Linked DNA regions of Arabidopsis thaliana. The protein of the gene in region 3 interacts with the protein of the main gene of each other region in a pairwise test. Each region holds a gene or a part of one and is shown on either strand. Other genes may lie near its edges. The genes, in order: HAM3, NIMIN-3, UNE16 and ERF8.

Region 1 (5,583 bases), 7.9 Mb from region 3:
TTTGGTCACGACGAGGCCCATCGAAGGCGTGAACAAAGCAAAGATGCGTTGCATCACCCATGGAGGGACTTTCTCCGTTAGAAATGCTCTAAGAGACTTCTGTATTTTGGAGTGTCATTCGATCATAGTAATTTTTTTTTTTTTTTTTGTTGTTGTTGTCGAATCATAGTAATGTGTTGTCAATGATCAAATGAGAGTTAGATTATGTTTAAGGAAATGTATATGATTAAAGAAATAAGGAAATTCCTTTACCAACTTTATATTGTGGTAATTGTTAATTACTTCCCGCCGATCTTGGTTTTTTTTTTTTAATCATAATTATTATTACTTTGGCTCTAATGAGATGAAGAAATCTTCTCTATTTTTCTTTATCCTTATCAGTCCCATGTGATCTCCTAATAATAATTGATCAATTTTTGTCTAATCTAACTAATCATCATCCTAAAATCTAATACAAAATGAACGACGCAATCATTTATATATGGTTACATGCATACAAACTCTAACACGTTATCCTTCAATATAAATTATTGTTTGACAAGATTAATATATTTAGCTGACTTGTTTCTTCCTCTAATTATGGCAAAGCACGATTCTGTTCATCATACGAACTATCCGATTGAGTGGGGTTGGGTGTGTTGCTTGTGATGAAGGGTGCCTTGAGACGAGAGAAAAGAACATGTTTTCACCACGTAACTTACTTCACCCTCACGAAGTTAACACACACATATATTTAGTATTCCAATATACCAAATATTATATTAATATATCATGAAACTTGAAAATGTGTTGGTGTATTATGTATGTCAATAAGAAATAATATTAATACAGTTTCGCGATCATTTCAAGATTTATAATAATTTTGTATAAGAAAGAAAAGTGTGAGAAGTAGTTGTTAGCAAATCACATGGGAACATATAAACTAATTAAATCTTAAAAATGAACATTTTAACTTTTTGTTGTTATATAAAGTAAGTTAACTATCAATAATCATCAAATATTTATGGTACTTAACAAGTATTATAATATGGGACTAAAAATTACTATACAAGAAACTGAACTCTGTGTTTTTTTGTGCGGTCATAATTCGCATATAAAAGATAGATTCAGAATCTGATATTGTTTATACTTTTTTTTTTTTCTTTGATATTGTTTATACTAATGAATTGGTTTGCATAGAAAAGTAAATGCTTTTTCATTATCATGAATACATGATAATGAAACTGTCGCCATTCATTGCAAAATTGGTCCGATTTTAATCTGTCTTCATCAATTACCCACCTCTCTTTCTTGTTGTTTTTTCTGATTGCTTTATTCATTTATTTATTATAGGGTTTTCCATTGGTAGATATATTTATATATGTATATATATGGTGATTGGTGACTTCCATTGTCTGCTCAATAAAGGACTACCACTCGTTCTTTCTCAATCTCTCGTGCATTTAACTTGTCACAGAAGAAACATCATTCACAGATCTTCAATCACTTTTTTCCTTCAAACGAAAAGATGTACCAAAGAAAGTATGTTTTTATATACACGTAAATATATATATAACTCCTTCTTTGTTATAAGTAGTACATGAATGTTTCAGATAATGACGATCATTCGTATCTCGTTAAGTTAAAACAAGAAAAACAAAACAGATATTTTTGATGTAACTCCAATATATACATAGTTTTTGTTTCCACTTTGTTTAGATTTATAAATTTAGATTATGTCCGTAGCAAAAAAAAAAAAAAAAAGGAAACACAAATTAATATAAGCACTGCAATATGTGGTTTAGCTCGTACAATGGATTGGGTGATTTGAGTGGTTAATTTGATAAAGATGATCCAAAAGCTTGTCCAAACCCTAAAACAAACTATTGGGGACAAAGATCACACAAAAGGAAATAACGACAGCACCTTTGAGATAAAACAAAACAAAACAATATCCCAAATATAGTTTGCAAGCCACAAAGTTTTAATCATGAAAATAAATTATAAGAAAACAAAAACATTCCCAATATATTATGACATCCTTTTTTTTTTTTGGGCAAGTATTATGACATCTAAATATACAGTACAACATCAAAAATATGGGGAAAATGTTTTTTTTTTTTAATAGTTTCTAGTAATTCAAGAAGACAAATACAATATTTAAAAATATATCATAACATTTAGTATTTTTGTTTACCATCATGTTCATGTCACTGAAAGGAGTTTGCAAGCCACGCGCGTGATGTAAGAGTGGGGTTGTAATAGAAGACATAGTTAAGATTAGAAAGCAAAGATTAACAAAATGTTGTGTAAGAGAAGCTGATGAATTGTTTAATCAGCTAAGTTAATGACAAAGGCAAAATGATAGGAAACGGAAATAAGAGAGAAAAAGAAAGGAGGAAGCCCACTTTGCCACTTTAATATCTTGCACGCATCCAATATACCTCACCACACCACATCACAACAACGAAGAAGAAGAAGAAGAAGAAGAGCTTCAAGAAGACAAATACACTATTTTTTATCGTCTGCAATGCCCTTACCCTTTGAAGAGTTTCAAGGGAAGGGGATTTCTTGTTTCTCTTCTTTCTCGTCTTCCTTCCCCCAACCACCGTCGTCTCCGCTTTTGAGCCACCGCAAAGCAAGAGGCGGCGAAGAAGAAGAGGAAGAAGTTCCCGCGGCGGAGCCTACCTCTGTTCTGGACTCCCTCATAAGCCCAACCTCTTCCTCCACGGTGTCTTCCTCTCACGGCGGAAACAGCGCCGTCGGAGGCGGCGGCGACGCCACCACCGATGAGCAATGCGGAGCCATTGGGTTGGGTGATTGGGAGGAGCAAGTTCCTCATGACCACGAACAGAGCATTCTCGGACTCATCATGGGAGATTCCACAGATCCCTCTCTTGAACTCAACAGCATTCTCCAAACATCTCCCACCTTCCACGACTCTGACTACTCATCACCCGGTTTCGGAGTCGTCGACACCGGCTTCGGTTTAGACCACCACTCTGTTCCGCCGTCACATGTTTCCGGTCTTCTGATCAACCAAAGTCAAACCCACTACACACAGAATCCTGCGGCTATCTTCTACGGCCACCACCACCATACACCTCCGCCGGCAAAGCGGCTCAACCCTGGTCCCGTGGGGATAACAGAGCAGCTGGTTAAGGCAGCAGAGGTCATAGAGAGCGACACGTGTCTAGCTCAGGGGATATTGGCGCGGCTCAATCAACAGCTCTCTTCTCCCGTCGGGAAGCCATTAGAAAGAGCAGCTTTTTACTTCAAAGAAGCTCTCAATAATCTCCTTCACAACGTCTCCCAAACCCTAAACCCTTATTCCCTCATCTTCAAGATCGCTGCTTACAAATCCTTCTCAGAGATCTCTCCCGTTCTTCAGTTCGCCAACTTTACCTCCAACCAAGCCCTCTTAGAGTCCTTCCATGGCTTCCACCGTCTCCACATCATCGACTTCGATATCGGCTACGGTGGCCAATGGGCTTCCCTCATGCAAGAGCTTGTTCTCCGCGACAACGCCGCTCCTCTCTCCCTCAAGATCACCGTTTTCGCTTCTCCGGCGAACCACGACCAGCTCGAACTTGGCTTCACTCAAGACAACCTCAAGCACTTCGCCTCTGAGATCAACATCTCCCTTGACATCCAAGTTTTGAGCTTAGACCTCCTCGGCTCCATCTCGTGGCCTAACTCGTCGGAGAAAGAAGCTGTCGCCGTTAACATCTCCGCCGCGTCCTTCTCGCACCTCCCTTTGGTCCTCCGTTTCGTGAAGCATCTATCTCCGACGATCATCGTCTGCTCCGACAGAGGATGCGAGAGGACGGATCTGCCCTTCTCTCAACAGCTCGCCCACTCGCTGCACTCACACACCGCTCTCTTCGAATCCCTCGACGCCGTCAACGCCAACCTCGACGCAATGCAGAAGATCGAGAGGTTTCTTATACAGCCGGAGATAGAGAAGCTGGTGTTGGATCGTAGCCGTCCGATAGAAAGGCCGATGATGACGTGGCAAGCGATGTTTCTACAGATGGGTTTCTCACCGGTGACGCACAGTAACTTCACGGAGTCTCAAGCCGAGTGTTTAGTCCAACGGACGCCAGTGAGAGGCTTTCACGTCGAGAAGAAACATAACTCACTTCTCCTATGTTGGCAAAGGACAGAACTCGTCGGAGTTTCAGCATGGAGATGTCGCTCCTCCTGATTTCCACCGGAGTTTCAATTATTAAAAAAATATTTTCCTTAATTCAATTTATCTTAAATGACAAATTTTTAGTTTCTGATTTTATTTTGCTCAGTGCGATGGATTTTTAAATTTAAGTTTCACACAAATATATAAATTTTTGTGAGAAGTTAATTAATTGTCTGATTATCAAACACTTATTGTATAACACATTCAATATATATTAATTGTGGGGATTATTTTTGATCGACTAAATAACGTGATAGAATAATGCTTGGATTAGCTCAATACTATATTTTTCTAATTAAAAATGAATGGGGTGTTGATTTTGATGCGAGGCAGAAAGCTACTGCTCATTATTGTGATTATATGATTATATAATGGTTAGAGTTTGTTGTGGTTTGTGTCTTTGCGAGGGGTCTATTTTTAATTTATAAACATATGTCTCCATGATGTCACATGGGTCTTGTATTATTTTATTTATTTGGACCACAATACATTTTTGTGTGCGCCGTTTCTAACCTTTTTTTTTCTCCGACGAAACAAAGGTTTGCTTTTTCTCCTTTAAATGGTCCATACGCATTACATATATAATGCGCCCATTTGCTTTACGCATTAACTGCATTTCTCTATAGAAATATTTCAGAAACAAACCAAGTGTATACAATACATCAACATGTTTTTTTTGGGGTTTTAATGTGAAGATTTCATTTCAATAAAAAGATTACAAGCTAATCTAAGTAATACAAACCAACATATTTTGGTTTACTCTTTATATTAAAACATCATTTAGGATAATTATTTAAAATATATATTCAAACATCTAAGGTCCTAATTAAGCATTACAAAAGATTTCCGTTTTAGAAACATATCAAGAGTTGATTAAATGGAGAAAGACGACTAAAATTTGTGAGTGAAAAATGACAATATGCCGCAAGTTATTGTCTCTTGTGCAATAAACGTTGGTTGGATACAGACACATTTGATTGAATGTGAATAGTTTAGTTTTGACAGATCATAAGCCGTGTCCTCAAGCAGAAGACCGGTCGTGATCGGTCAATCTACACGTGTACGGCAGAAACACATGTGTCGTTTCCCTGTGAGAGATGATCAACCAAATCAACGGTCAGTTTTTGTCAACTAATGTGTGTATTGATTTGTAACATGCCTACGTGAACATAAGCTAGTCACGCAACAAGCAAGGCCTGGGTCACGCAGGCTCGGCTCCACTAAGACGCGCCGACGTAGTCACTCATCATATATCACATGTCTAGATTCAAATGGTAACCGTTTGATGAGCGCAGTAAGTAGAAACATTGACCGGTCCAGGCGAGGTCTAGCAAATACTATTAGAATTAAAATTGATGTAATCAATCACTGATAAATACTATTAGAACTACTCTACTTTACACTCACGT
Region 2 (4,226 bases), on a different chromosome or scaffold from region 3:
GCTACCTTCCTGAGGTATGACTTTTGTGCTCATGAACAATTACAAAGTAAGCAGCAAAACAGTTGGATAGTTTTTTTCGGTTGTCTTCTTGATTGGTCTTCATTGTCACAGGATGTTGCTATATTTGGGGTTTCAAGAAAGAATCTGACAGATGAAGACCTCAGATCCATCATTGCATCAACGCTGACTTGCCGTGTTGATCATCAGTATGTATAATTCTTGGTACTACCTTAAATTTGGTATCTCTGATATACGGCCGTGCTAGCTAAAGAATGATGCTAAATGTTCAGGGAGAATTGTGGGGGCAAGATGGATGCATTTCAGAGTAGAACATACTATATCAATGGAGGTTATAATAACAGGGATGGGATGTCCCGACTTGCCGAGAGAATGAAACAGATTGAGGTTCCTAAGTACCTTTTTTTCTTTCTTTCAATGATTACATTTTGTCCCAGAAGTAGTCCTCTTTCTGAGTTTACAACATTTTGAACAGACAAGCAAGATAGAATAAGACATTAACAGCTTTTCTTCTTCAGGGAGAATCAGAAGCAAATAGAATCTTTTACCTCTCAGTACCTCAAGAAGCTCTGGTGGATGTGGCATGCACCATTGGAGATAACGCTCAGGCACCACGAGGCTGGACTCGAATAATAGTTGAGAAACCTTTTGGTTTTAACTCACATTCGTCTCATCAGTTAACAAAGTCACTTCTCTCTAAGTTTGAAGAGAAGCAAATCTACAGGTCCTTCTTTTAAATCTAGTTGCTTTCTGCATGCACAGCTCTCAAGTTCATATTTCTTCACACTTCTGTGCCCGTTACAGGATAGATCACATGTTAGGAAGAAACCTCATTGAAAATCTGACAGTGTTAAGGTTTTCAAATCTAGTTTTTGAACCACTATGGAACAGAACATACATACGCAATATACAGGTAGTGTTTCCTTCTGATTGTTTGTAGTTGTGTATAGTGCCTGAACTTTCCTCTTCCACATTCTGGTTTGTTCACTTTGTGTATAAATGATGTTTCCAGGTTATTATATCAGAATCAATTGCGCAAACAGAAAAGTAAGGCACAATAGTTCTATTTTCACCATTTCTTTGCATGTGAGAGTAAATTGTGTTGTTTCAGCATTCTTAGACAAATCAGTAATGTTATTTTCTAATTTCCTACTGCTTTTTTTAAGGTTTTCTGATGGATATGGAATAATACGGGACATAGTGCACAGCCATATACTTCAGACAATCGCATTACTTGCCATGGAACCTCCGATAAGTCTCGATGGTGAAGATATCCGAAATGAAAAGGTCAACCTGTACTGTAAAGAACAAAATCGTCTTATGGTATATATGTAAGTTGTGTACTCTTGTTCTGTCAAGTGACTTGGTGACAAACCTGCTTCTGCAGGTGAAGGTTTTAAGATCAATTCGCAAGATAGACCCGCGTGATGTCATCCTTGGCCAGTATAAATCCAGTTCCCGAGACAAGAACGGTGTGATCTTGAACGGTGTAGACCCTACATATTGTGCAGCAGCCTTGTATATTGATAATGCACGTTGGGATGGTGTACCTTTCCTTGTAAGAGTTGGCACTGGCCTCATTAAACACAGGTAAGAATAATTATTCCTACTCATAGACATATCCAACTGTCATAACAATTGATTGGTGTGCCTTAATGTTGAAAGAGTGGAGATTCATGTGCAATTCCGGCATGTTCCTGGAAACCTATACCGAGAAAATATTGGAATAAACATAGATTTGGGGACAAATGAGCTTATTCTACGTGACGAACCTGATGAGGCCATCCTGGTGAAAATCAACAACAAGGTTCCTGGTTTAGGTCTTCAGCTAGACGCTTCTGAACTTAACTTGCTCTATAAAGACAGGCAAGTTTTGCATTCTCATCTTTGTTCCTACACATTTTAAAAATCGAACTTTTGCGCCTTATGGTTGGTTGAATTGTTGGATCAAACCTGTAGGTATAAAACCGAAGTACCAGACTCATATGAACACCTAATTCATGATGTAATTGACGGAGACAATCATCTGTTCATGAGAAGCGATGAGGTTGCAGCAGCATGGAACATTCTTAGTCCGGTTCTAGAAGAGATAGACAAGCATCACACAGCTCCGGAGTTGTATGAATTTGGTGGACGAGGACCAGTTGCGGCATACTATCTTTGGGCCAAGCACGGTGTCCCATGGGCAGATGACTGAAGAAGAAACATAGATGCAGCAACAAACAAATGAGAGTGATTCTGAATGGTTATTGTGAAGTGTGTTTGTTTAGCTTGAAGCTGTGCCATTCCCTGTAGACTGTACATATGTACACATGTATGTCATGTTGCTATATGAATGTCCATCATGGTGGGGTCCATAATAGTGTTGAAAAGTCTCCAAAGCCACCCAAAGGAAAGAAGAAAGTCTGAGAGACTTTTAGATAAGGTCATGTTGTTAGTCTTCCCACTAGAGGCAATAATTATATCTTCTCCACCAATTCCTCCAGAAAATTCTTCCAGATGTATCATGTGTTGATGATCAAAGTAGGATGAAAATGATGTAACTAAAGAGAAACATTTTCATAGGGGAAGGAAGAGAGAGCGGTTCAATGGACAGAGACAGAAAGAGGGTGAAAATGGAGAAGGAAGATGACGAAGAAGAAAAGATGGAGAAGTTGTACACAGTGCTTAAAAACGCAAGGGAAATGCGGAAATATGTCAACAGCTCCATGGAGAAGAAGAGACAGGAAGAAGAAGAAAGAGCAAGGGTTCGTAGATTCCCTTCGTTTCAGCCAGAAGATTTCATTTTCATGAATAAAGCAGAGGCCAACAACATTGAAAAAGCAGCTAATGAGAGCTCTTCAGCATCCAACGAGTATGATGGCTCTAAGGAAAAGCAAGAAGGATCTGAGACTAACGTTTGTTTAGACTTGAATCTTTCTCTGTAGCATACATACATACAAGAGACAAAGAGCTCTTCAGTTTCTGTATAAGCAACAAAGAATGTTAGTAACTACGTACCAAAAACAAATGTGTCATGGAATTCTAGTTTTGCTTGAAGATTGTTCATCACTTCTTATTAACCATATTGAAGAAAATGCTACAAATGCACATTGATAACAAGATCAGTAAAAAAATATATATATATTAGCAGAAGAACTTAGAGAGAACTCTCATCAATGGCTGAGCAAGTTCCTATGGTTTGCGAGAATTACTCCATTTTGCCAACGCTCCAACGAGGATTGATAGCTAAGCCTAAGATTAAAAAAAAACATTCTGCTTGGCATTTATTGAATCTCACCAGTAATCTTTACAGGAACACTCTCCGTTTCTGAAGTGATGGAATCTGTTTGCATCTCTTAGAATGATCTCCCTCTCTTTCACCTTAGAGATTATTTTTATTGCTGTGTGGCAATCACTACAAACTCTAAGGTTCTTCATGACTCGGATGGGTATTCCTTCAGATAGCTTTAAAAGAGCATAAGCTACCGCTAGTCTCTCGCTATGATATTTCAGGCTATTGACTTTCTCTTCCTCGTCTACATCGTGCAATGCATAGCTGCAATCAGGATTATACCCGGCTTCTCTCAATAACCCATCCAATTCATCCAGTATCTTCAAAATAGATTCCTGCTCGGGATGGCTATTAATACCCCCACGAGTGAATGCATGCACCTTGTTCTCGACTTCAGTCCAGCTACAACCTGGTGATTTTCTTACCAACCTAGTCTTCATAAGTTTTCTCAGTTCTGCAACGTCAGCCCACCTACCTTGAGATGCATACATGTTGGAGAGCAAGATGTAAGTCCCAGAATTCTCCGGTTCAATCTCTATGAGTTTCTTCGCACAAAATTCTGCCACATCCAGCTGCGAGTGAGTTCTGCACGCTCCTAATAGAGAACCCCAAACTGCAGCATCTGGTTCGACAGTCATACTATCAATCATTTCCATTGCCTCATTAAACCGTCCTGCACGCCCAAGCATATCTACCATGCAAGCATAATGCGCGGTGATTGGCTTAACCCCAAAAACTGATTCCATAGATTCATAGATCTTAAGCCCTTCCTCAACCATCCCAGCGTAACTACATGCTGAGAGAGTTGCAACGAAGGTGACTTCGTTAGGCTTAGTACTACCAGACAAAGGCATCTCACAGAAAACCTTTAATGCTTCCTCTCCAAGACCGTGTGAGGCATAACCAGATATGATTGAATTCCACATGATAATGT
Region 3 (5,445 bases):
GAATGAACAGAGAAGGAATTGACAATAATAATTTCACGTTTGGGTCTGCTGTGAAAGCTGCTTCTGAGACAGCTAACATGAAACAAGGGAAGCAGGTTCATGCTGTGATCACCAAAACCGGATACGATTCAGAAACCGAAGTTTGCAATGCTTTAATCTCTATGTATGCCAAGTGTGGGAGCATTTCTGATGCAGAGAAGCAGTTCCTTGAAGTCTCCACGAAAAATGAAGTTTCGTGGAATGCGATAATTAATGCTTATTCTAAACATGGGTTTGGTTCTGAAGCACTAGATTCTTTTGACCAGATGATACATTCTAATGTAAGGCCTAATCATGTGACGCTTGTGGGAGTTCTATCAGCATGTAGCCACATAGGACTAGTGGACAAGGGGATTGCATACTTTGAATCCATGAATTCAGAATATGGATTATCTCCTAAACCGGAACACTATGTGTGTGTAGTGGATATGCTAACTCGAGCTGGTCTTTTGAGCCGTGCGAAAGAGTTCATTCAGGAAATGCCTATTAAGCCAGATGCCTTGGTCTGGAGAACACTTTTGAGTGCTTGTGTAGTGCACAAGAACATGGAAATAGGAGAATTTGCAGCGCATCATCTCCTAGAGTTAGAACCTGAAGACTCAGCAACATATGTTCTTCTGTCAAATCTGTATGCGGTGTCCAAGAAATGGGATGCTAGGGATCTTACAAGACAAAAGATGAAAGAAAAGGGTGTGAAGAAAGAACCGGGACAAAGTTGGATTGAAGTTAAAAACTCAATTCACTCTTTCTATGTTGGTGACCAGAATCACCCGTTAGCAGATGAGATACATGAATACTTCCAAGATCTTACCAAACGAGCATCTGAAATCGGGTATGTGCAAGACTGTTTCAGCCTATTGAATGAACTGCAGCACGAGCAAAAAGATCCAATAATTTTCATCCACAGCGAGAAATTAGCAATTTCATTTGGACTCCTTAGCTTGCCTGCAACAGTGCCTATAAATGTAATGAAGAACCTACGTGTTTGCAACGATTGCCATGCTTGGATAAAGTTTGTATCTAAGGTATCAAATCGAGAAATCATAGTGAGGGATGCATATAGGTTTCATCATTTTGAAGGAGGTGCTTGCTCTTGTAAAGATTACTGGTAAGAGCCAAAGCCTGGTAGCTCACTCGCCTCTTTTGGGAAGGTTAAGTCTGTGTTCCAAAGTTCGAGCTCTGGTTCTCGCTCAAAGAAGGAGATCATGGACCAAACCTTACGGGTAAGCTGAATTCTCAGCAATGATATGATACTAGACGATATACTTGAGCAAAGAGTATTATCCTGAAGGAAAGAATAGTCACATGACTGTTCTTGAGGAAAAGTTGGAGTTGATGCAGGAGTTGATCATGAGCAAAGGAGACCATCGATGACTTAACAAAACGAACCACTCCTTTGTTTCTACTACCATTGCTAAGTAACTATCACTATCTTTCATACCCCATCCTTTTTTAGGGGCTTATATATGTGTACATATTACATATATACGTGCATCTATGGCTTTAAAATTGATGAATTGTAGATTAAGAGAAAGTGTCTCAAAATAAAGATTCTATGTTGCCAAGAAACAGAGTCTCTCTTTATGCATATGAATGATTGATGTGCTTCTGATTTCTTAATGTTTTATGTGGCTGAATTTGGAAACTGCTATTACATAAACAAATTTTGTCAATAGTAATATAAAAATTAAAAAACTAAAGCTAAAGAATACTTTTTTTCTCTTGAATTATATAAAAGAAAAATAATTGGAAAAATGTCTAGTAGGTTTAAAGGATTTGATATTTAAAAAAAAATTGAGGACCCTATTTTTTTCTTTTTTCATTTGGTTTATTTTAGCAGTTAGCACCATCTTAAGATAGAGAACTTGAAGTTTTATTCTGCTATTGAAAAACGAAAATAATAACTAAAAGAAATTTTATCTTACTACTTTTTCAAAACATATATGTTATTTGGAATTTCAATGCAAAGAGTACAAATAACCAAAACATAAATTCTGCTCTCTCTTTTTTTTTTTTTGAAAATATCTAAATAAATTCAATAATGCACAAATATAAACACAAAATACTATCCGAGTGTTGTCTTGTCCAATCTATCAACTCGTTTCTTCGCTGTCTTAGAAATCCACAATATCTTTCTTCACACTTTCTTTCACTTTCCCGGGAAAACAGCCGAGAAAATAAAAGAAACGAAGAAAAGTTTGTTCCTTTGTGGGGATCAAAGAAGAATGTACTCGGCGATTCGGTCTTCGCTTCCTCTAGATGGCAGCTTGGGAGACTACTCTGACGGAACCAATCTTCCCATCGACGCTTGTCTGGTCCTAACCACTGACCCCAAGCCTCGCCTTCGTTGGACCTCTGAGCTCCATGAAAGATTCGTTGACGCCGTCACTCAGCTCGGCGGACCCGACAGTAAGTGTCCCTTCTTAGAAATTTATGGATCTTAGAATGAAATGTGTTTTTTTTTTTAATCTGTTGTTCTTCAGTTAGTACGAAGAATTTGACAACGAGTTAGGTCTAATTTCTTTCAGATTTGGAAGTCAATCATCCTGAAATAGAATGGATTTCTTGGGTTTATGTCACTTAGAACAATTTAGGAATTACTGTGGCATTCTTTAGGTTTTTTTTATTGGCCTTGAGATTTGTTTACAAGATTAGTTTTTTTGTGTGTTTGGTTTGATGTCAGAAGCAACGCCTAAAACTATAATGAGAACAATGGGAGTGAAGGGTCTCACTCTTTACCATCTCAAATCTCATCTTCAGGTTTTGATGCTACTACCTTCAATATCAAATTATGCTTCTTTGGCTACTTATAACAAACAAAGTTCATTGCTTTTTGACTGTGTTGTTCTCTGGTTTTTTGCTCGGTAGAAATTCCGCTTGGGGAGGCAATCTTGTAAAGAATCAATTGACAACTCTAAGGATGGTATTCAGTTATATCTTTAGCTAAGAATCCATTTATATCTTTATGGATTCAGTTGTGCATTTATATCTTTGTGAACTTATATCTCTGTAGTTTCTTGTGTTGCGGAGAGTCAGGACACTGGTTCATCTTCAACATCATCCTTAAGATTGGCTGCTCAAGAACAGAACGAGTATGGTTTCAAGTGTTCTCTTTATTCCAAGTGTTATATTCACTGTCTATAACACTCATTGTTTTTGTCTTGAGCCAGGAGTTACCAGGTCACTGAAGCTTTGCGTGCCCAGATGGAAGTCCAAAGAAGACTACACGAGCAACTAGAGGTTAGTTTCTTCTTCGAATTCACCAAATACCAGAGAGACTTTGGTTAATGAGAGACTATATAGAAACCTCCATTGAATTTCCTTAAAGCTTATCAGAACGTTACTACTTAGGAAATCTTTTCATGAAAGTTAGAACCATAGAAACCGCATATACTAATGTTTGAGCCCTGGTTCCACATTTAATAAGATCCATTAGTATACGCAGGTGCAAAGGCGACTCCAGTTAAGGATCGAGGCACAAGGGAAGTACCTGCAATCAATTCTAGAGAAAGCTTGCAAGGCTATAGAGGAGCAAGCTGTTGCATTTGCTGGGTTAGAGGCAGCTAGAGAAGAGCTTTCAGAGCTAGCCATAAAGGCCTCCATCACCAATGGGTGCCAAGGAACAACAAGCACCTTCGACACAACCAAAATGATGATTCCATCCTTATCCGAGCTTGCAGTAGCAATAGAGCACAAGAACAACTGTTCAGCAGAGAGCTCTCTGACTTCCAGCACTGTAGGAAGTCCGGTATCAGCTGCGTTGATGAAGAAGAGACAACGAGGAGTGTTTGGAAATGGAGATAGTGTGGTTGTTGGTCATGATGCTGGATGGGTTATGCCTAGTAGTAGCATTGGATGAAGTTAGCAAGAGAGAGAGAGAGAGCGAGACCAGATTTTAGCTTATTTAATTTTGCTATGTTGTATTTAACTCTAAACTCTGTCATCAAACTTGTCTTAGCGTCTATGTATATATTTGTTGAATCTGTAGCCTCTCTTTTAGTTTGTGTATTTGCTTCAACTTTTTCTAAGCTTGCCTTCTTTTTTCTTTTTTGGACAAACCTAAATATAGAATTTATGTAATTGTATAACATAAAAAATACTCATTAAATACTCATAACTTATCTCCATGCTATAGATTGGATCTTGTCTACAAATTAGTTGGCACACATTTGCGTAAATGCACAAATTTGATTACGTGTGTAAAATAAAATGTCAAAGAAAAAAAAAAAAATCTCAAGAGGAAGAGAGTGATGGGGTCGGCGATAAAATGACGGCGTATCTGCTCACTCGTACGGTGATTTGCAACTGAAGTTTTGAAAACTAAAAAAGAAGTTTTGATTTTTGAACAAAGAGAGAAAATAAAAACGGCAGAGGAAGAGCCGTTTACGTTGTGCTTGCTTCCCCAAGATTTCTCAACTTCTTCTTCTTCGTGTGAGTTTCAATTCTCTAATTTACTAAAAATTAATCAAATCGCAAGGAGTTTCTCTGTGTTAACGATTGATTCATCGTTGAGTTTTCTCTGTGGTAACGATTGTGTTTATATATAATTTGATTGATTGATTGATTAACTTACCAAATTAGTCTTAGATTTGGATATATGCTTGTAATTGATTCAAATAACAATTTGATTCTCTAACCAATTTCTCAAACTTTGAGTAATTTCTGTAGATTATTGTATACTTGCAGGTATAAAATGCGTTGCCAGGAGGTAAAATCATGGACATTTAAAGGTTTAGTGGCTGCGTTTATCGATCTTTCCGTTGCGTTTTCGCTACTTTGCGCATCGTTTATCGTTTATGTAACATCGAAGTTCCTCGGTTTATTTGGTTTAGACCTACCATGTCCTTGTGATGGTCTATACAGTGAGTGTTTTCAAGAGAGTTTAAGGAATCTTCCGGTTAAAAAGATCTCTTCTGTTCAAAGATCTGTTAAAAATAGAACACCTTTTGATTCAATTCTGTATAATGGTGGAAAGAAGAGAAAATGTGAGCGTAGACGTGTTCAGTTGGAAGATGAGGTATCTAGTACTACTCCTTCTGTTGGAAAGTTTGAGAATAAGGCTTCAGGGTTCGATCTTTTAACTGCGCAAAGTTTGAAAAAAGGAAGCTTTAAAGTTAAGAGTAAGCGGCTTAGCTTCCATAGGTCGCCGTATGGTTTCAAGAACCATTACCAAAGTTGTTTAGGCCTTAAGAGCTTTGAGGGATCATATGATGAAAATGATCCTCTTCTTGTGAACTCCAATGGTAAGTTTTTTTGTTGTCTTTATTCAATTATATTGGATAGTGAATGTTGATTTTGATGCAAGTTGTAACATTGTAGATAGTGGAAAAGCATTGGAGGATGTGTCGTTGCGGAAAAGTGTTTCACTAAGTTCTGTTGGGTGTGGAGTGGGAGAGGGTGCATGCA
Region 4 (4,145 bases), on a different chromosome or scaffold from region 3:
ATTTAAGATCAGATGTTTTAGCCCGTCTAGCCAAAATGTTTTTTGAAGACATTGGCTTTGTAAATTATACTCATTTGGTTTGAGCGATAATCAAGAAATTACTTTACAATTTAAGTTTGAATTTGGCAAAAAAAAGTTTTTGTTGTGCGTTTATTTGACTAGATTATATTATACTTTACTCTAACTACAATCATATATATACATTGGTAACACGATAGACAACATATATAAAAGTCTTTTAAACTATAAAAGCCAACATATATATTCCATAGTATTCTTTAAAACAAAAACAAATATGCATGTAAATAATAGATTTGTCTTTTTATTGTTGTCACTGTAGCGACATTTTTTTCCGTCACTGTAACAACGTATATTTTCTCCACAGAACTAACAAATTCGAATCTATTTGTTTGATGGTGTTCATTTTTAATCCAATGTACATATGCAAGTAGTAGATATCTCTTTCTTTTTTGTATATACACGATATATAAAATAGTTCACTAAGTTATAAATCTAAAAATTTATTTTGATAATATTTTGTTTACCAAATAAATACACAAATAGTATATATGCGTTGTTCGTCATGATATCGTCATATATAAAATCCACTACAATATAAAATTTTGGTCATTTTGTTTGATAATATTTATTTTTCACCAGATATAAGCATGTAAATAATAGATTTTTTTTTTCTTGTCGGCTCGTTAACGACATTTATAACGGAATAACGGTATACTAAAGTACAAATTTTTATTCTATTCCCTTTATACCAAATAAGCTTTCATGGTAACATCCGCTAAATTATATATTGTCATCATGGTAACATCCGCTAAATTACAAATTTCAAATAATTTTTACTTTTACCAAACAGAAAAGTAAGAAATATTTTTTTGTCGACACTTTAACGATATATATATGTAACGGTATATAATTTACAAATTCAGAAATTTTGTTCGCTATATATTTTCTTACAAATTTTTTTTTTTTTGTTTATGTGTTAACAACATATATAACTACAAATTCGATAATTTTGTTTGAATATTTTTTCTACTAGATACACACACAATAGTTTATATTATATATATATATATATAAATCTTGACCTAACTAAAACATATAGTTTAAAAGGGTGTTATTAGTTCTTAATTAATTAAAAAAAATTCAAGAATCTGATAAAATCATAGATTGTAAAGAAATGAAAGTTTCTAAACTATTATTATAGAGTTTTCTATAATCTTGTTGATTAGTTTTTCACAATTTCTAAATTTTCTCAAACAATCTTTCTTTTTTAATGATACTTTTCGTAACTTTATTTTGGAAAAAGTGTAGAAAATCATAAACCAATAACACAATAATTTAATTCATTGACAATTATAGATTCTTTTGTTTTAGCTAAATAATATAAAATTTATAATAATTTTATAAAAGTATAAATCCAATAACTATAGATTTATCAAGATTTTAAATTATTTTTTACAAATCTTAATATTTTAAATTTTTTTAATTGAATAACAATAGATTCTTTATAATATTTTAAGTTACTAAAACTTTAATTAAATCACAAACTAATAACACTCTTTAATAGTGTATACTAGTATTATTGTTATGTCATTATATAGATTTAAATCCGCATATTACATTGCTTTAATAAGAAAAATTACTTAAAATTGCAAAGTGGCGATATAACATGTTTTATAGATTTAGTACAAATATGTTCCTAGTTTAAATAGGGATAAATGCAGCAAAAACCAAATTATATTATATTCTTAATAGGCAGTAACTTAATTTATAAGATTGTGATTTGTGCAGTCTTTGTTACAAAGGTGAAAAAGGGTAATAAATAAGATTCTTTTGGAGAAAGAGAAGTGAACACGTGGCAAAACATAAGTGGATATAATAACAAAAACCAGTTTTTATATGAAATAAGAGAAGCATGAGAGAGAGATAATTAAACCATCTCTCAAAATGGCTTTGACTGTTCACAAGAAAGCTCCCCAAAAGGAGCGTTGCTTTACTCTCCTATAAAAAGAAGCTCTTCTACTTCTTCTCGTTACCACAAAACTCTTTCACCGATCTTCTCGTTCCATTCTTCTTCCTAATTACACCATGCCCAACATCACCATGGGTTTGAAACCCGACCCGGTTGCTCCAACGAACCCGACTCATCATGAGAGTAATGCTGCCAAAGAGATTCGTTACAGAGGCGTTAGGAAACGTCCATGGGGAAGATACGCCGCTGAGATCCGAGATCCGGTTAAGAAAACTCGAGTCTGGCTCGGTACGTTCGACACCGCTCAGCAGGCGGCGCGTGCTTACGACGCAGCCGCGCGTGACTTTCGTGGTGTTAAGGCTAAGACCAATTTCGGTGTTATCGTTGGTAGTAGTCCTACTCAGAGTAGCACCGTCGTCGACTCTCCCACGGCGGCACGGTTTATAACACCTCCGCACCTCGAGCTCAGCTTAGGCGGCGGCGGCGCGTGTCGTCGTAAGATCCCGCTTGTGCATCCGGTTTACTACTATAACATGGCGACGTATCCAAAGATGACGACGTGTGGTGTCCAGAGCGAGTCTGAAACGTCGTCGGTCGTTGATTTCGAAGGTGGAGCTGGGAAGATATCTCCGCCGTTAGATCTGGATCTTAACTTAGCTCCTCCGGCGGAATAGGCCGTGAGTTTTTTTTTTCTTATGTCGTTTCTTTAGACAAAAAAAAATAACGTTTCCTTTTTTTTTCTGCCTAAGAAAAAAATATTATCCGTTTTTTAGAAGAAAGTGTAGAAAAGCTCCAATATAATTTTTAGCTGCCGTGAAAAAAAAGTCGTTATGTATATATTATTATGAAACCCTATTATAAATCGACGTAACATAAGAGGATCTTAAGCTTTTTTTTTTTCTTTAGTATTTGCCAAGGAAATGCATCATCGTAAATTCGTAATTGAAAAGATAAAGTATTATAGAGCTTTTTGGGGCTCGTGTGTAGAAGAAATAGATAAAGAATGGTAATGTTATTATTATAAGACTAAATATAGTGATGAGTATCGTCGTCGTCGGCTTGAAAAGACAATGGTCCAAGTGTCGTGAAGACACGCACCAATCGTGGGAGGACCGGACCCATCTTCTCTGGCTGCGGCGTACGTTAGAAGAATACTTCTTTACGCTTACGTCATTTTCACAGTTTGGACTGCTTTTCTAACTTTTGACTTTTGTGTTTTGCATCAACTCTTTTAACTCCGATGATTTATTAACAGATGGTTAAGAGTCTTGCTTAAGTTGAATAGTATTCGATTTGAAATGGTAAAAATGTTTTAAGGAAGTTGAAGATAAGAAGAGCGGCGGCTTCATAATGAGAGACAAAGGAAGGATGAGATTTGATTTTGATTCTTGTCGCCAACTTTGTGATCAAAAAACGTATAAAACAGTTATGCTCTATGGTCGCAGATCCAACGGCTGGAATCGTCATCGTTACCACGTGGACGCTTAACATAATTTAAATTCTTATTTCATATTTTTTTAAAGAAGTTAGTATGTTTTAAAATATATATATATGCATGCGTACAAAATCGTGTTAAGGGTTATAATAAAGGGATGTAAAATTGGGGCCTCTAGAAAGTTGAATAGTTTCAATTAAGCCCTTATCTTAACGACATTTAGCCCCACTCAACCAAATATACACCCATGTCATGTCACTACGCACAACTATGGATCACTCCCATAAGTAGATGTTTTATATCAATTGACGATTGCAACTTTTTTACGTTACAAATTTAATGCTGGACCGAAGGCTACCATACTAGGATCCGAAAGCCCGATCCACGTGTGGCGTCATCAGGACAATGTTTGCGACACGTCGGCTGAGGTGTTTGGCGCGGTGTTTATGATAACGGCGTTTACACAAACCTCTGTTTATGAGCTCTGTGACTGTGACTGTATGATTTTAGTAAAATAACGAAAACAAATACTAGGTCCTTTCGTTCTTTGACCATTTCTCCGACCAAAAAGGGACCACTTACTCATCTACGTATATTGGATAATACATTGTATTATCACCTTTAATGAATACGTGTCCTCTGTGAAGCTTCAGTGACCCAATGAGAAAACAAAAATGCTGATTTAGTGTGACCCCAAATTTTATTTATTTTGTACGTAAA

Evidence for each region.
Region 1: the proteins of UNE16 (region 3) and HAM3 interact in binary tests that used the Arabidopsis thaliana proteins (3 or more experiments, as listed by UniProt).
Region 2: the proteins of UNE16 (region 3) and NIMIN-3 interact in binary tests that used the Arabidopsis thaliana proteins (3 or more experiments, as listed by UniProt).
Region 4: the proteins of UNE16 (region 3) and ERF8 interact in binary tests that used the Arabidopsis thaliana proteins (3 or more experiments, as listed by UniProt).

Annotation. Positions count from the first base shown.
Region 1 is NC_003075.7:56,032-61,614, reverse strand, and holds HAM3 (GRAS family transcription factor), read left to right. Parts: upstream 1-2,119; 5' UTR 2,120-2,509; coding exon 2,510-4,186; 3' UTR 4,187-4,475; downstream 4,476-5,583. UniProt on the Arabidopsis thaliana protein: Probable transcription factor involved in plant development.
Region 2 is NC_003070.9:3,036,629-3,040,854, reverse strand, and holds NIMIN-3 (NIM1-interacting 3), read left to right. Parts: upstream 1-2,446; 5' UTR 2,447-2,606; coding exon 2,607-2,945; 3' UTR 2,946-3,101; downstream 3,102-4,226. Other genes in the region: G6PD4 (glucose-6-phosphate dehydrogenase 4), read left to right, coding at 1-14, 112-206, 291-405, 537-742, 823-931, 1,031-1,065, 1,185-1,341, 1,412-1,608 and 2 more; AT1G09410 (pentatricopeptide (PPR) repeat-containing protein), read right to left, coding at 3,295-4,226.
Region 3 is NC_003075.7:7,935,317-7,940,761, reverse strand, and holds UNE16 (Homeodomain-like superfamily protein), read left to right. Parts: upstream 1-2,116; 5' UTR 2,117-2,264; coding exon 2,265-2,448; intron 2,449-2,722; coding exon 2,723-2,799; intron 2,800-2,907; coding exon 2,908-2,962; intron 2,963-3,052; coding exon 3,053-3,131; intron 3,132-3,209; coding exon 3,210-3,279; intron 3,280-3,475; coding exon 3,476-3,898; 3' UTR 3,899-4,156; downstream 4,157-5,445. Other genes in the region: AT4G13650 (Pentatricopeptide repeat (PPR) superfamily protein), read left to right, coding at 1-1,151; AT4G13630 (zein-binding protein (Protein of unknown function, DUF593)), read left to right, coding at 4,733-5,282, 5,359-5,445. UniProt on the Arabidopsis thaliana protein: Transcriptional activator. Probable component of the central regulatory system controlling transcriptional responses to Pi starvation. Binds in a sequence-specific manner to phosphate starvation-regulated promoters.
Region 4 is NC_003070.9:19,820,058-19,824,202, reverse strand, and holds ERF8 (ethylene response factor 8), read left to right. Parts: upstream 1-1,950; 5' UTR 1,951-2,106; coding exon 2,107-2,664; 3' UTR 2,665-2,866; downstream 2,867-4,145.